3 linked regions of the Nothobranchius furzeri genome follow. The protein of the gene in region 1 interacts with the protein of each later gene in a pairwise test. Links are inferred from orthologs where the notes say so. Each region holds a gene or a part of one and is shown in the gene's direction. Other genes may lie near its edges. The genes, in order: araf, rras and nelfcd.

Region 1 (3,654 bases):
CCACCCACCAGTCCGCACCGCGGCTGGACAAACCTCTTGGGGAAACACTGAAACCAGAACCGGTCCGTCTTCAACAAACTAAACGTCATTTACAAACACTTAGTCGTAAACAATAATTGTTGTTTGTTTGGAGAACTCAAACACTTGTTCATGCTACTTCCTGTCTGTGCTCACGGCTGCTGTGTAAACATCTGAACAGCTGGACTGATTCTGACTGGTGGTTGAGGGTCAGTCGGGTCACATAAACTATAACTCAATCATCCATCAGCGTCCGATGTTCTGTGGTTAAGTTCTGGGTCCTACGGAGCAGTCAGATGAAATGATTTAGTGTCCAACTACTAGTTCAGTCCCAGATTGAAGGCAACGACCACCAGTGTGAATGGTTCCTTTAAACAGGTGGATTAAAATAATTGACCCCCTGCTGATTTTGCTAGTTTGGCCGCTAACAAAGAAAGGTCGCTGGTTTATTTGAACAGTGAGAAGGAACAAAAACCCTGAAAAATGTCTAAACGGTGACACATCACATGGCTTTTTTATGAAGGAAACGAGGATTTGACCCTTTGGGCTTTAGCTTTGTTGATGTCAGAGGTCAAATGTCCTTTAGTTGGACACAAGGTTTACACACATCTCAGGATGGGTTTTTCCCCATTCCTTTATGTAGACCCCCCCTTTTCTTGAGTGATTTAGCTACATCTGCGATGTGCGTAGAATAAAATGTCAGTTCGTCTGCATGCGTCGGGGTAATTCTTTCTTTCTCCGTCAAAATAAACGGCTAAATACGGGAACTGTCCGGTCAACACAAGCCCTGCTTTTAACTGTTCTGTTTTCTTGTGAAAATAGATAAAATTAAACTTGATTAACACCAGAGCCAGGCGCACTGCGCCGTTATCTCCGTCACTGTAAATGAGGGAAAAACAAAATGATCGGATCCTTTTCTGACCTTCCCCACCTACAAAGTTTAATTACAACAATCAAACGTGACAGAGCCTGAATTTGTATTCTGAACAGTCTAAACATGTTTTAAAAAGAAACGTATGACAAAAGTGGCACCTGCTCAGTAAAACCACCAACAGGGTGAAAAAAATCAAAATATTGTCGGCAGAGACGGGCTACAACTTCTGGATCCACTTTATATAAATCGTTTTATTGATTATCTTCTTATGAAAGATAACTTTGACGTACACGAGCGACCGGTACCGGCTGCTGTCACCTGTTGTGATTGGTTAAAGCAGCTCTCTGCTGTCTGAGGGTAGGCCCCGCCCACAACGCCGCGGCTGCTGTGGCTCCCAGTGCTTTCTTTACTGTGGGAAACGGGTAATAATGGCTCTTTGATGGGAACAGGTTGCCGACCCCTGACATAGACGTACTATTTCTAGAGTGATCCTTCCTTTCCTTCAGTGGGCTATCCTAAGTCGGCGGGGGTTCAAACCCTCTTCCCACTGTTGATCAGTCGAGTGAAGCAGCACACAGCTGAGTATGAAACCCACCTTTGACCTAAGTCAGGTTTTGGTGATGGTTAAAGTTCTCCATGGGTCGGCCCCTCTCACACTGTGCAGATGTTTTGGTGTGTAACTCAGAGGAACCGTCTTCTAAGCTTTGCTGCCAGACATCTTTCTCCATGAAGGCTGGACTGTTAAAATTGGTGACTTTGGTTTGGCCACGGTGAAGTCTCGTTGGAGTGGCTCTCATCAGGTCGAGCAGCCCAGTGGGTCCATTCTCTGGATGGTGAGTTTTCATGAACAAACCCTTGAAATCTTAGGTGTGTTCTTGCTGTGCGTCATTTCTAACTCCATGTTGTCGTTCTTTTTTAAAACACAGAAACGGTTTTGTTACCCATTATTGACGCTACAGTTTCGCCGTCGAAAAAGAACGACAACATGGAATTAAAACCTTGAAATGCATAAAGAAAAGAACAAGAGAGCCTGAAAACGAATTGACAGAAGACAGATCGTTCTGTCCATGCCCACCTAAGTTCAGTGAACCTGGATTTGAACAACAGCGTTGTACTTCCTGGTTTAGGTCCCTGGAGGGTGTGGTTATTTAGCTGGGAGGAGATTTTACAGCTCCATACTGATTGGTCTGTTTGCAGTCTCGGCAGTTTACAGTTGGTTCTCCTTTCATGTTACTTCTGTAATTTCTCTTGTGTTTGTAGCTAGTAAGTTTCACCAGCGTCTGCTTTGTTCAGACTACGTCCTCAGCCACATTTACTGAGAGTATTAATGATTGAATTAGCTAATCGTAGGTTTTCCGCGTTTCCTCCCAGGCTCCAGAGGTGATCCGGATGCAGGACAACCCGTACACATTCCAGTCAGACGTGTACGGTTATGGAGTGGTGCTGTTTGAGCTGATGTCAGGATTCCTGCCTTACTCCAACATCAACAACAGGGACCAGGTCGGACCTCCTTCCAGTCCTTTTACAACCGCTGTAGAAGTCAACGTCACAGAGCCGCTCTCCTAAGTCGTCCCCCGAACTGCGTAAAATGTGGCGTACTTTAAAAAAATAAACGATGTAAATGTTATTAACGTCTGTAGCTTCACATCACCTTTTTGGGCTGACCGGTGTCATCACTCACCGCTGAAACGGTCCAGATGCGCTGACACAACAGCTGTGAGGATGAAGCCATCGTGTTTAAGTGTCCTGGAATTCGACTAGTGGGAACGCAGCTATGATCTGCAAATAAGGGCGTCTATGTTGGGTAAAGAAAGTCCAGTTGCTACCAGAACTGGTCCAGGTTCAGAGCTGGTTTCATTGTTGGTGTCATTCTCTCATAAACCCATCTTCAGTGGAACATCAGTCAGGCAGTAAAACTCTGAGAAAACCATCAGACATGAATTTATCAGAAAACCCTTCAATATCACCAAAGTAACCCAAAAATGACAATACCAATTATTACATAGAAATAAACAGACTAAAAATCCATCCATCCATTGTCCTCCGTTTAGCCGGGTCGGGTTGTGGGGCCAGCGGCCCAGACTTCCTTCTCCCCAGCCACTCGGGCCAGATCCTCTGAGGTAATCCCAAGATGTTCCCTTGCCAACCAAGAGGCAAAACAGTCCCTCCAGCGTGTCCTGGGTCTTCCTTTAGTTCTCCTTCCAGTTGGACGAGCCCGGAAAACCTCACCAGGGAGGCATCCGGACCAGATGCCCGAGCCACCTCAACTGGCTCCTCTTGATGTGGAGGAGCAGCGGGTCTTTCTCTAAGGGAGAGCCCAGACACTCAGTGGAGAAAACTCATTTTGTATCCGCCATCTCGTTCTTTCGGTCACCACCCAAAGCTCGTGACCATAGGTGAGGGTAGGAATGTAGGTCGACTAGCAAATCGAGAGCTTCGCCTTCTGGCGCTGCTCTCTCTTCACCACAACAGACCGGTACAACGCCCGCAGCACCAGTCCGTCTGCCGTTCTCACACTCCATCTTTCCCTCACCTGTGAACAAGACCCCGAGATACTTAATCTCCTTGACTTGAGGCAGCACCTCGTCCCTGACCTGGAGAAGCCATTCTACCCTTTTCTGTCTAAAATTCAGCTGGTGAAAACCAGCCGTCGCTCTTGAATTTCTGTCCAACCTAATCATCAAAAACAAAAAAAACTAATGAAACCAAAACAATATGACCCTAAGTTAGTGTTTAGCAGTTTAACAACACACACGCACGCA
Region 2 (3,654 bases), on another chromosome or scaffold:
AGTAGCCTTTATAGTTATTAAGCGGCTAGAGAGAGAGCAGCGCTACGTCCCAGGAGCACCCGTCCGTGCAGAGGTGCTGAAGAACGGCACCGGTTCTATTCCGTAGCTGTTTACAACCTTGTGGAGTACTTTACAACAGACACGACGCAGAGCGGCTCTCCGGCACAAACCCAACCACCAACACATGGACAAGGAGCTTATAAATGCTACTTGATTACAGTACTGATAACTTTAAAGTACTATTGATCCTAAAATATTGTAATAAATGGTGCACTTACCCATTTTAACCCTTTGATGCATGAATAATGAAATCTTCAACCACGATTTTTTAAACAATTTTTTTCATTCATATTTAGGTGTGAATGAAACAAATTTCAACAAATATCTTTTGTAAAATTTTGTTAATTTACAAATAGTTTATTACATGTCCAACTCAGGGGACAGCGTGCGTTCTGAACATGAAATGTGTTGGCTTGACTTGCTGAAGCACAAATGGAGGGGCTCACATGCAATAAAGTCTTCAACAGCTGTGCTTAATAGCAAAAATAAATAAATAACAATTTTGAGTACCTGTCCACTGTAGTGACCATTATGCACCAAAGGGTTAATGAATTAGTCTCACTAAACTTGACATTATGTCTGATCACGCATAAAGTGTCACTTTCCGCTTCCTGTTCTCAAGTCTCGCGTGATGTTGTGACTATCGCGATTTTCCAAGAAGCGTTCAGCGGCCTAGCGAGCCCGATGTGACCACTTGACCTCCCAAAACCGCGGCGCTTCCGTGGCGTAGCGTATCTGTCTCTGTGTGCCCCAGCTGCTTGTTCTGCAGCGTGCGTTACCATGGTGAATGGGTGGGGTTTCAGGCTAGCCACATTCATAAAACCCATTTAGGGGCGGGAATCTCAACAAAAGCCTGGTTTGGGAAAATCTTGCATTTTGGAATGCCCCCCCCCCCCCCCCCCCGGTTGATGTAAGCAAAAAGGTTCTGTCCCAGAAACAATCAGGTTCTCAAAGGTTCCAGGTCCACTCTTTCAGGGAGATGCTCCAACACATCTGATTTAAATACCAAGCATCTGCAGGAAGTGATAAACATGTGATCCAGGTGTGCTGGAGCAGGATGGGTGCCCTCTAGGACAGGTGTGCCACCTGCGGATTCCACCTGAGACATTTGAGGAGACGGTTTTTTTTCATTAGATTTGATTTAAATGTCATTTCAGCAAAAAATGCCAACTTGGTTTTCATTTTTCATGTTTTGTGGTTCTTCATCATCCCTACAGCAAACAGAGCTTGTTTTACCTTTGCTCACATGTTTTGGCGTCTACTGCCAGCCTTGTCAGCATAACCACCGATGTCTGTCTATCGCCTTCTGCGTCACGAATGGTCCAGCGTGTATACTCGTGGTCCTGGGTCCACTGGGGGGGGGGGGGGGGGGGGGGGGGGCAACACTGTAACACAGCAACTTTACAAAAGGAGAAAGAACAGCCGTGACATCCCTCGTCGTTATTCTACCAGCAGACAGGAAGAACAGTGATGATGGACAAAGACAAATATAATCAACAGGTGGATGCTCGAGGAATAAAACCCACACGAAACACCGAAAAAGATCCAACGGAAGACATGAAGACCAGCAGGGCCATGTCATCCTCCGCTGACCGCAGATAAACGGAAATGACGTCACCAACATCGGCGGTTGCTCTGACGAAGGTGGCAGTAGACGCAGAAACATGTTAGCAGAGGTAAAAACGATGGTGTGATGAAGAAGCACAAACGGTTAGATTGGATAGAAAACACAGAGCAAACGTAACGCCTTGTTCTTTTCTCAGTTTGAGCCTTTTGTGTCTTCCTGCAGTTACCACGAGGTCCAGAAGTTCCACACCCAGATCCTGAGAGTGAAGGACAGAGATGATTTCCCGATGGTTCTGGTGGGAAACAAGGTGGACCTGGAACAACAGAGAGTGGTGAGACCTCCTCTGGAAAACACTGACACATGTTCCACCTAGGGTTGTCACGGTAACCGGTGTGGCGGTAAACCCCGGTAAAAAAGTTGACAATAATAAATGCACACCTTCCGCTGCTGTTTCTCTCCTGTATCAGCTGATGGAGGGCTCTAGTTTCGTTGCGCCATTCGTGTCAGCAGACACGGTAGGGGCGGGGCATGACGCTTAGCCTGGCGGGCCAGCAGGCTTATAAAGCGTGTTATAAAGTTTTTATATCTAATAATGTTTCTTTATTTCTGACAGAGACCTCTCCTCTGTCCCGACCGTCTTTAAAACCTCCTTTCCTCAGTACTGCTGTCCCGGTTCGATGGCTGGGACAGACTTCCAGGCAGCAGGACCCCGTAAGGGTCAGAAACCACAGCAGTGAGAACCTGATAACTGGACTCACCTGGACCTGGTTGTGTCTGTCTGCAGATCTCCAGAGAGGACGCTCAGGCGTTCGCCTCGGAGAACAGGATCCACTACATGGAAGCTTCTGCCAAAAACCGCTACAACGTAGACGAGGTTTTCCTGGAGCTGGTGCAGATCATCAGGTACAGAACCTTCTAGACTCATGTCCATGTGTCAGAGCTTCTGCTGAAGAATCATCTGGATTTCCTTTGCTTTAGTCTAGTAATCACCTGAAGCACCATTAAAGCTTCTTTCCGGAGTATTTCTTATCCGATGGCACCATCTAGTGGCTGACAAGCATATCACACACAGTCTATTCCTCTGTTTTTTTAAGATGGCGACTTCATGTTTCTGTTTATAAATGTGCTTCTGTAGCCGACAAACAGCTAAAACACGTAGTTTTACGAGTATTACACTCATGTCATGTTGAGTTCTCATATATTTATATTTTAGAGACTTTCTTGTCTGTGAAAAGTTCATCAACTCTGCATCAGCCGAGGTATTCCTTAAACATGAAGCAAGTAAGCGGTGGTCTAACGCTATTGGTTAGTTCTGGTCGGGGCTCCGTTTCCTGTTGACGGGCAGAGTGCTTCTAGGATTAACTTTATCTCACCATCAGGACGGAGAAGCTTCTGGTGTGGCGTTAAACACGCCTCAGCTGTTGGTGTTGTCACTGTTCCTGGAGTCATGTGGTCACCGAGCAGACCGCTCTGTGGTTCTAACAGAACCCTGCTTTTATTTTATCGTCTCGAGGTAGAACGTTCCAAAACGTCACGAGTTGTTTCAGCTGAAGGCGACAAATCAGAGCAAACATCAGGCTCTGTATCCGGTGTTGTGGTGCCGTGACGTCACTGTAACACGATGGGATCTGTTGGCGTGGTGGTCACGTGTTGTTTAATCAGGACACATTCCTCCCAACCGAACCGCCCTGCGACCTGAACACCACCCTATCTGAGCCCACCACATCTGGAAGAAAGGTCCATGCCAACCCGCACACACCTGTATGAGTGGCTGTCCTGTTCTTCTGCAACAAAAGTGGAAAATGAGAACATAAAAGGGTTGGTGCTGGGTCAGGATGACCACAGCAGTGTTGGAAACACAATCCTGGGCTGGACCCAGATCAGAACCAGCAGCTCTGTACAATGCCAGAGTCCTGGAGGTCTTGGTGTTGATGGTTCCTCTTCTTGCTTTCAGACGGTTTAAGGAGTTGGAGAGCCCCCCTCCACCGACCCAGCAGACCAGGAAACCGAACCGAGGAGGCTGTCCC
Region 3 (3,654 bases), on another chromosome or scaffold:
CAAATTAAATGGTGTAAAAGCAGGGTTTCCCCCAGAAAATGAGTTAAGCCTGGCGGATTCTGCCGTCGGGGGGTGGGGCCCGCGCTCTGTCCCGCAGCGCTCCTCCGTGAGACTGGGAGTTTTCTCACCAGTATCAGCTGATGGAGGGCTCTAGTTTTGTTGCGCCGTTCGTGCCGCCAGGCTTATAAAGCACTGGGGGAAACCCTGAAAAGTAACTAGTTACAGTCCATGTTAAAGAAGAAAGTGCTAGCAGCTTGATTTTGTGTGTGTGCGTTTAGTACATGTCAGTATCACTATTAACGCTGATTTCTGTTTGAATCCAGGGGTCATGATGCCAGTCAGATCACCCTCGCACTTGGTACGGCAGCAGCCTACCCTCGAGCCTGCCAGGCTCTGGGCGCCATGTTGTCCAAAGGAGCCCTGAATCCTGCCGACATCACAGTTTTGTTCAAGATGTTCAGCAGCATGGACCCGCCTCCTGTAGAGCTGGTGAGAATAAACTCCTTCCCATGTTTTATCCCTTGTGAAGGTGCTCTTAATTAAAACATTGGTGTTTTCTGCCTTTTAGATCAGGGTTCCTGCCTTTCTAGACCTGTTCATGCAGTCTCTTTTCAAGCCTGGATCAAAAATCAACCAGGACCATAAGCACAAATACATCCACATTTTAGGCTACGCAGCCAGCGTTGTTGAGACGTGGAAAAAGGTACAGATACATGTTTGAAATGTGCAGAATTCACATGTTTTACTTGTCATCTTGATCCACTGAGGCCTAGTCCACACGTAGCCGGGGTTTTTTAAACACGAATATCCGCCCCTCCAAAAACTTGCATCCACACCACCGCGTTTTAAAAACAAACTCTGTCCACACGTACCCGGATAAATACGTTGTTAAGGACATGCCAGACCTGTAGGCGGCAGTACTTACCCCGTTCTTAACCTCGTCCTTCGTCTGTGGTCTTCCGCAAGGAGCAGTAATTCCGCTTGCAAAAACAAACAAGCAGAAAGCGCTTGGACAATTGATGGATCGGGTAGTGACAGAGCACAGCTTTGAGGGCATCCATGATGCCGGCTAGTGTAAGCACAGTTCGCACACGTGATGTCAGCATTTTTTGTCGCGGAAAGTGACGTTGCGGACCTTAAAACTCCGGTTTTGTCTGTCCACACGCAGACACCCAAAACGGAGAAAACGCAGATCTTCACTTTGGCCGGAGTTTTTAAAAAGATCCGTTTTCGTGTGGATGACAGGCCAAAACGTAGAAAAATATCTACGTTTTGGCAGATCCCTGGCTACATGTGGACAGGGCCTGAGACTGCAGTCTTCCTAACGTTTTAACCCTCTGTCTTAATACCAGAACAAGCGAGTCAACATCAATAAAGATGAGCTGAAATCAACTTCCAAGGCCATAGAGACCGTTCACAACCTGTGCTGCAATGAGAACAAAGGAGCTACAGAACTGGTGGCTGAACTCAGCACCTTGTACCAGTGCATCAGGTCGGTCTAAAGGGAACACTGTTGAGTAAAGGATGATGGATTACAGCTTAGTGGCACTGTTGAAAGTAACGTATTGCAAAAGTAATGGCTTATAGGAATATGTTGCTTTTTTCAATAATACAATATCAGTAACTCAAGTTATATTAAGTGCTTTCAAAATGATTTGCATTGATATACGGATTAAAACATGCTAAAAGCTCTTCTAAAAATGCTACTGTTGTGAGTAGGGATGTTCAACATTATCGGTCACATATACATCAAACTCTTCAGCTATTCTCTCAAAATGTCAAAATATGACAGATCTGAGTAGGGGTAGACCGACATATCAGTTGGCTGATGTATCGAGCCGATGTTTACCGGTTTTTATACATCAGCATCGGCCGATATTTGTCCTTTAATAAAGCCAATTTAAAGTCAGGCACATCCTTGGGCAGCCTGGTGCTGTTGCAGGATTTAATTTAAATGTATTTTTACGTTCACTATTAACTTCTGCATAATAAATACTCTAAATTAACTTTATTTAGGTGTCTGACTTTAACACATATCAGTAATAGAAAAAAAATAACAGTCAACCTCTAGATCTGAAGATACTGTAGTTTTTTCTGTTTGTGGAGTAGTAGTTGGGATCTGCTGTCCTCACAGCACATGGCTACGCTACAGCAAACAAACAAAAACTAAAATCTTCACACAAAGTTTGCTTTTCTCTTCTGAACATCTTTATAAATGTTTTATCACCATAGCTTCAATATAATAACATAATAAGTAAGAGCACATTATTACTAACTAATGCACACTTCTTGGCGTCACACTTAGGGAGAATGAGATTCAGATGCAATATGTCACTTTTCCTATGAATAACTTAAATTGAAGTAGTTGTCATTTTGCACAGAAAATATTTAAAGTTTAATCATTGGAGATATGTGATGATGGCAACCTAAAATGTTTTATTTTTATTTATTTTTTTATGACAGAGGGACACAGCAAATATTGGTATCAGTGTCTGAAATTATGAGTTAGACCAGGGATTCCCAAAGTGTGGTGCGCGCACCCCCGGGGGTGCGCGAGCTGCCACTAGGGGGTGCGCAAGGTGAAAAGTGTAATGGCTGCGGAGCTCAGAGAAGTCTGTCAGATGTCACCTTTAACGTAGCCAGAAACTCATTTGTGGGTGGGCCAAAGAAATAGTAAGAGGGCACAATAAATTTAATTGAAAACAAGTATATTTTTGCGTGTGTGTCCTCCACATGTGCCCTAACTTCATAATAACAATGCGCCGAGCTTCAGCACTCTGGCCTGCGCACGCCGATATGTTCCGTATTTGATCATTTTTAACGGTGTTGGAGAAATCTGAAGGTGGCGAGTCATTCTGGCAGATTGTAATTAACACCCTGTCTCATGCAGGTGTTCTGACATTGTAAACCTCACACACAGAACATTGTGGATGTAACTAAATAAATCAAGAAATTATTCCCATCCAGGCTACTAAAAGCGCGCTGAAGATCTGAAGTTCAGAGTGTGTCTGTCAGATCAGATGCGTTCCAGCGGCTCTCGGGTGCACAAGTGAGCACATCTGGGCTGGGCAGAAGTTTAAATAGCACCAATAACGAGACGCAGTGACTTAAACTCTGCAAGTTGTGAAGCGCGTTCCATCCGCCAGCCGCATCACCAAGCGGAAAGTGAATGCGTCAAGCATAAACCAAGCTTCATGGAGCTGTGCCCTGCGCACGCACACACACACACACACACACACACACACACACACACACACACACACACACACACACACACACACAGAGATTCAATAAGCACGCACGCCGCGCAAACTCCGGCGCGCCGTCAGACTGAAGACAGAAATGAGCGCTGCCTCCTCTGTGATAAAAACTTTTAAGAGGTTTTATAACATTTTTCATTCAAGGTCAAATTAAGATATTAGCTTCTATTTTGGGATGACGTATTAAAGTCGGGTCCGCTCCAGCCAGTGACTCCGAACCTGAACTCATGCAGCATTTGTTATTCTGGTCCACGTGGCAGCGGATCGCAGATTCAGCCACACCATAAAACAGCAATAAGTCGGTCTGAGGTAAAAGTGAACATCATGGCTATATCTTGTCCCCTATTGACATTTGATTACGCACAAGTAGGTGACCAGCTCAGGTTTACGCAGA

The links.
Region 2: the proteins of araf (region 1) and rras interact in a two-hybrid assay, tested with the Homo sapiens proteins (2 studies listed by BioGRID). The link is inferred for Nothobranchius furzeri from reciprocal best matches to the Homo sapiens genes ARAF and RRAS.
Region 3: the proteins of araf (region 1) and nelfcd interact in binary tests that used the Homo sapiens proteins (3 or more experiments, as listed by UniProt). The link is inferred for Nothobranchius furzeri from reciprocal best matches to the Homo sapiens genes ARAF and NELFCD.

Annotation. Positions count from the first base shown.
Region 1 is NC_091757.1:26,527,200-26,530,853, reverse strand, and holds part of araf (serine/threonine-protein kinase A-Raf), read left to right. Parts: intron 1-1,606; coding exon 1,607-1,725; intron 1,726-2,263; coding exon 2,264-2,392; intron 2,393-3,654. UniProt on the Homo sapiens protein: Involved in the transduction of mitogenic signals from the cell membrane to the nucleus. May also regulate the TOR signaling cascade. Phosphorylates PFKFB2.
Region 2 is NC_091758.1:14,005,203-14,008,856, forward strand, and holds part of rras (ras-related protein R-Ras), read left to right. Parts: intron 1-1,849; coding exon 1,850-1,958; intron 1,959-2,411; coding exon 2,412-2,530; intron 2,531-3,581; coding exon 3,582-3,654. UniProt on the Homo sapiens protein: GTP-binding protein with GTPase activity, likely involved in the regulation of MAPK signaling pathway and thereby controlling multiple cellular processes. Regulates the organization of the actin cytoskeleton.
Region 3 is NC_091743.1:48,868,923-48,872,576, reverse strand, and holds part of nelfcd (negative elongation factor C/D), read left to right. Parts: intron 1-323; coding exon 324-489; intron 490-568; coding exon 569-703; intron 704-1,352; coding exon 1,353-1,492; intron 1,493-3,654. UniProt on the Homo sapiens protein: Essential component of the NELF complex, a complex that negatively regulates the elongation of transcription by RNA polymerase II.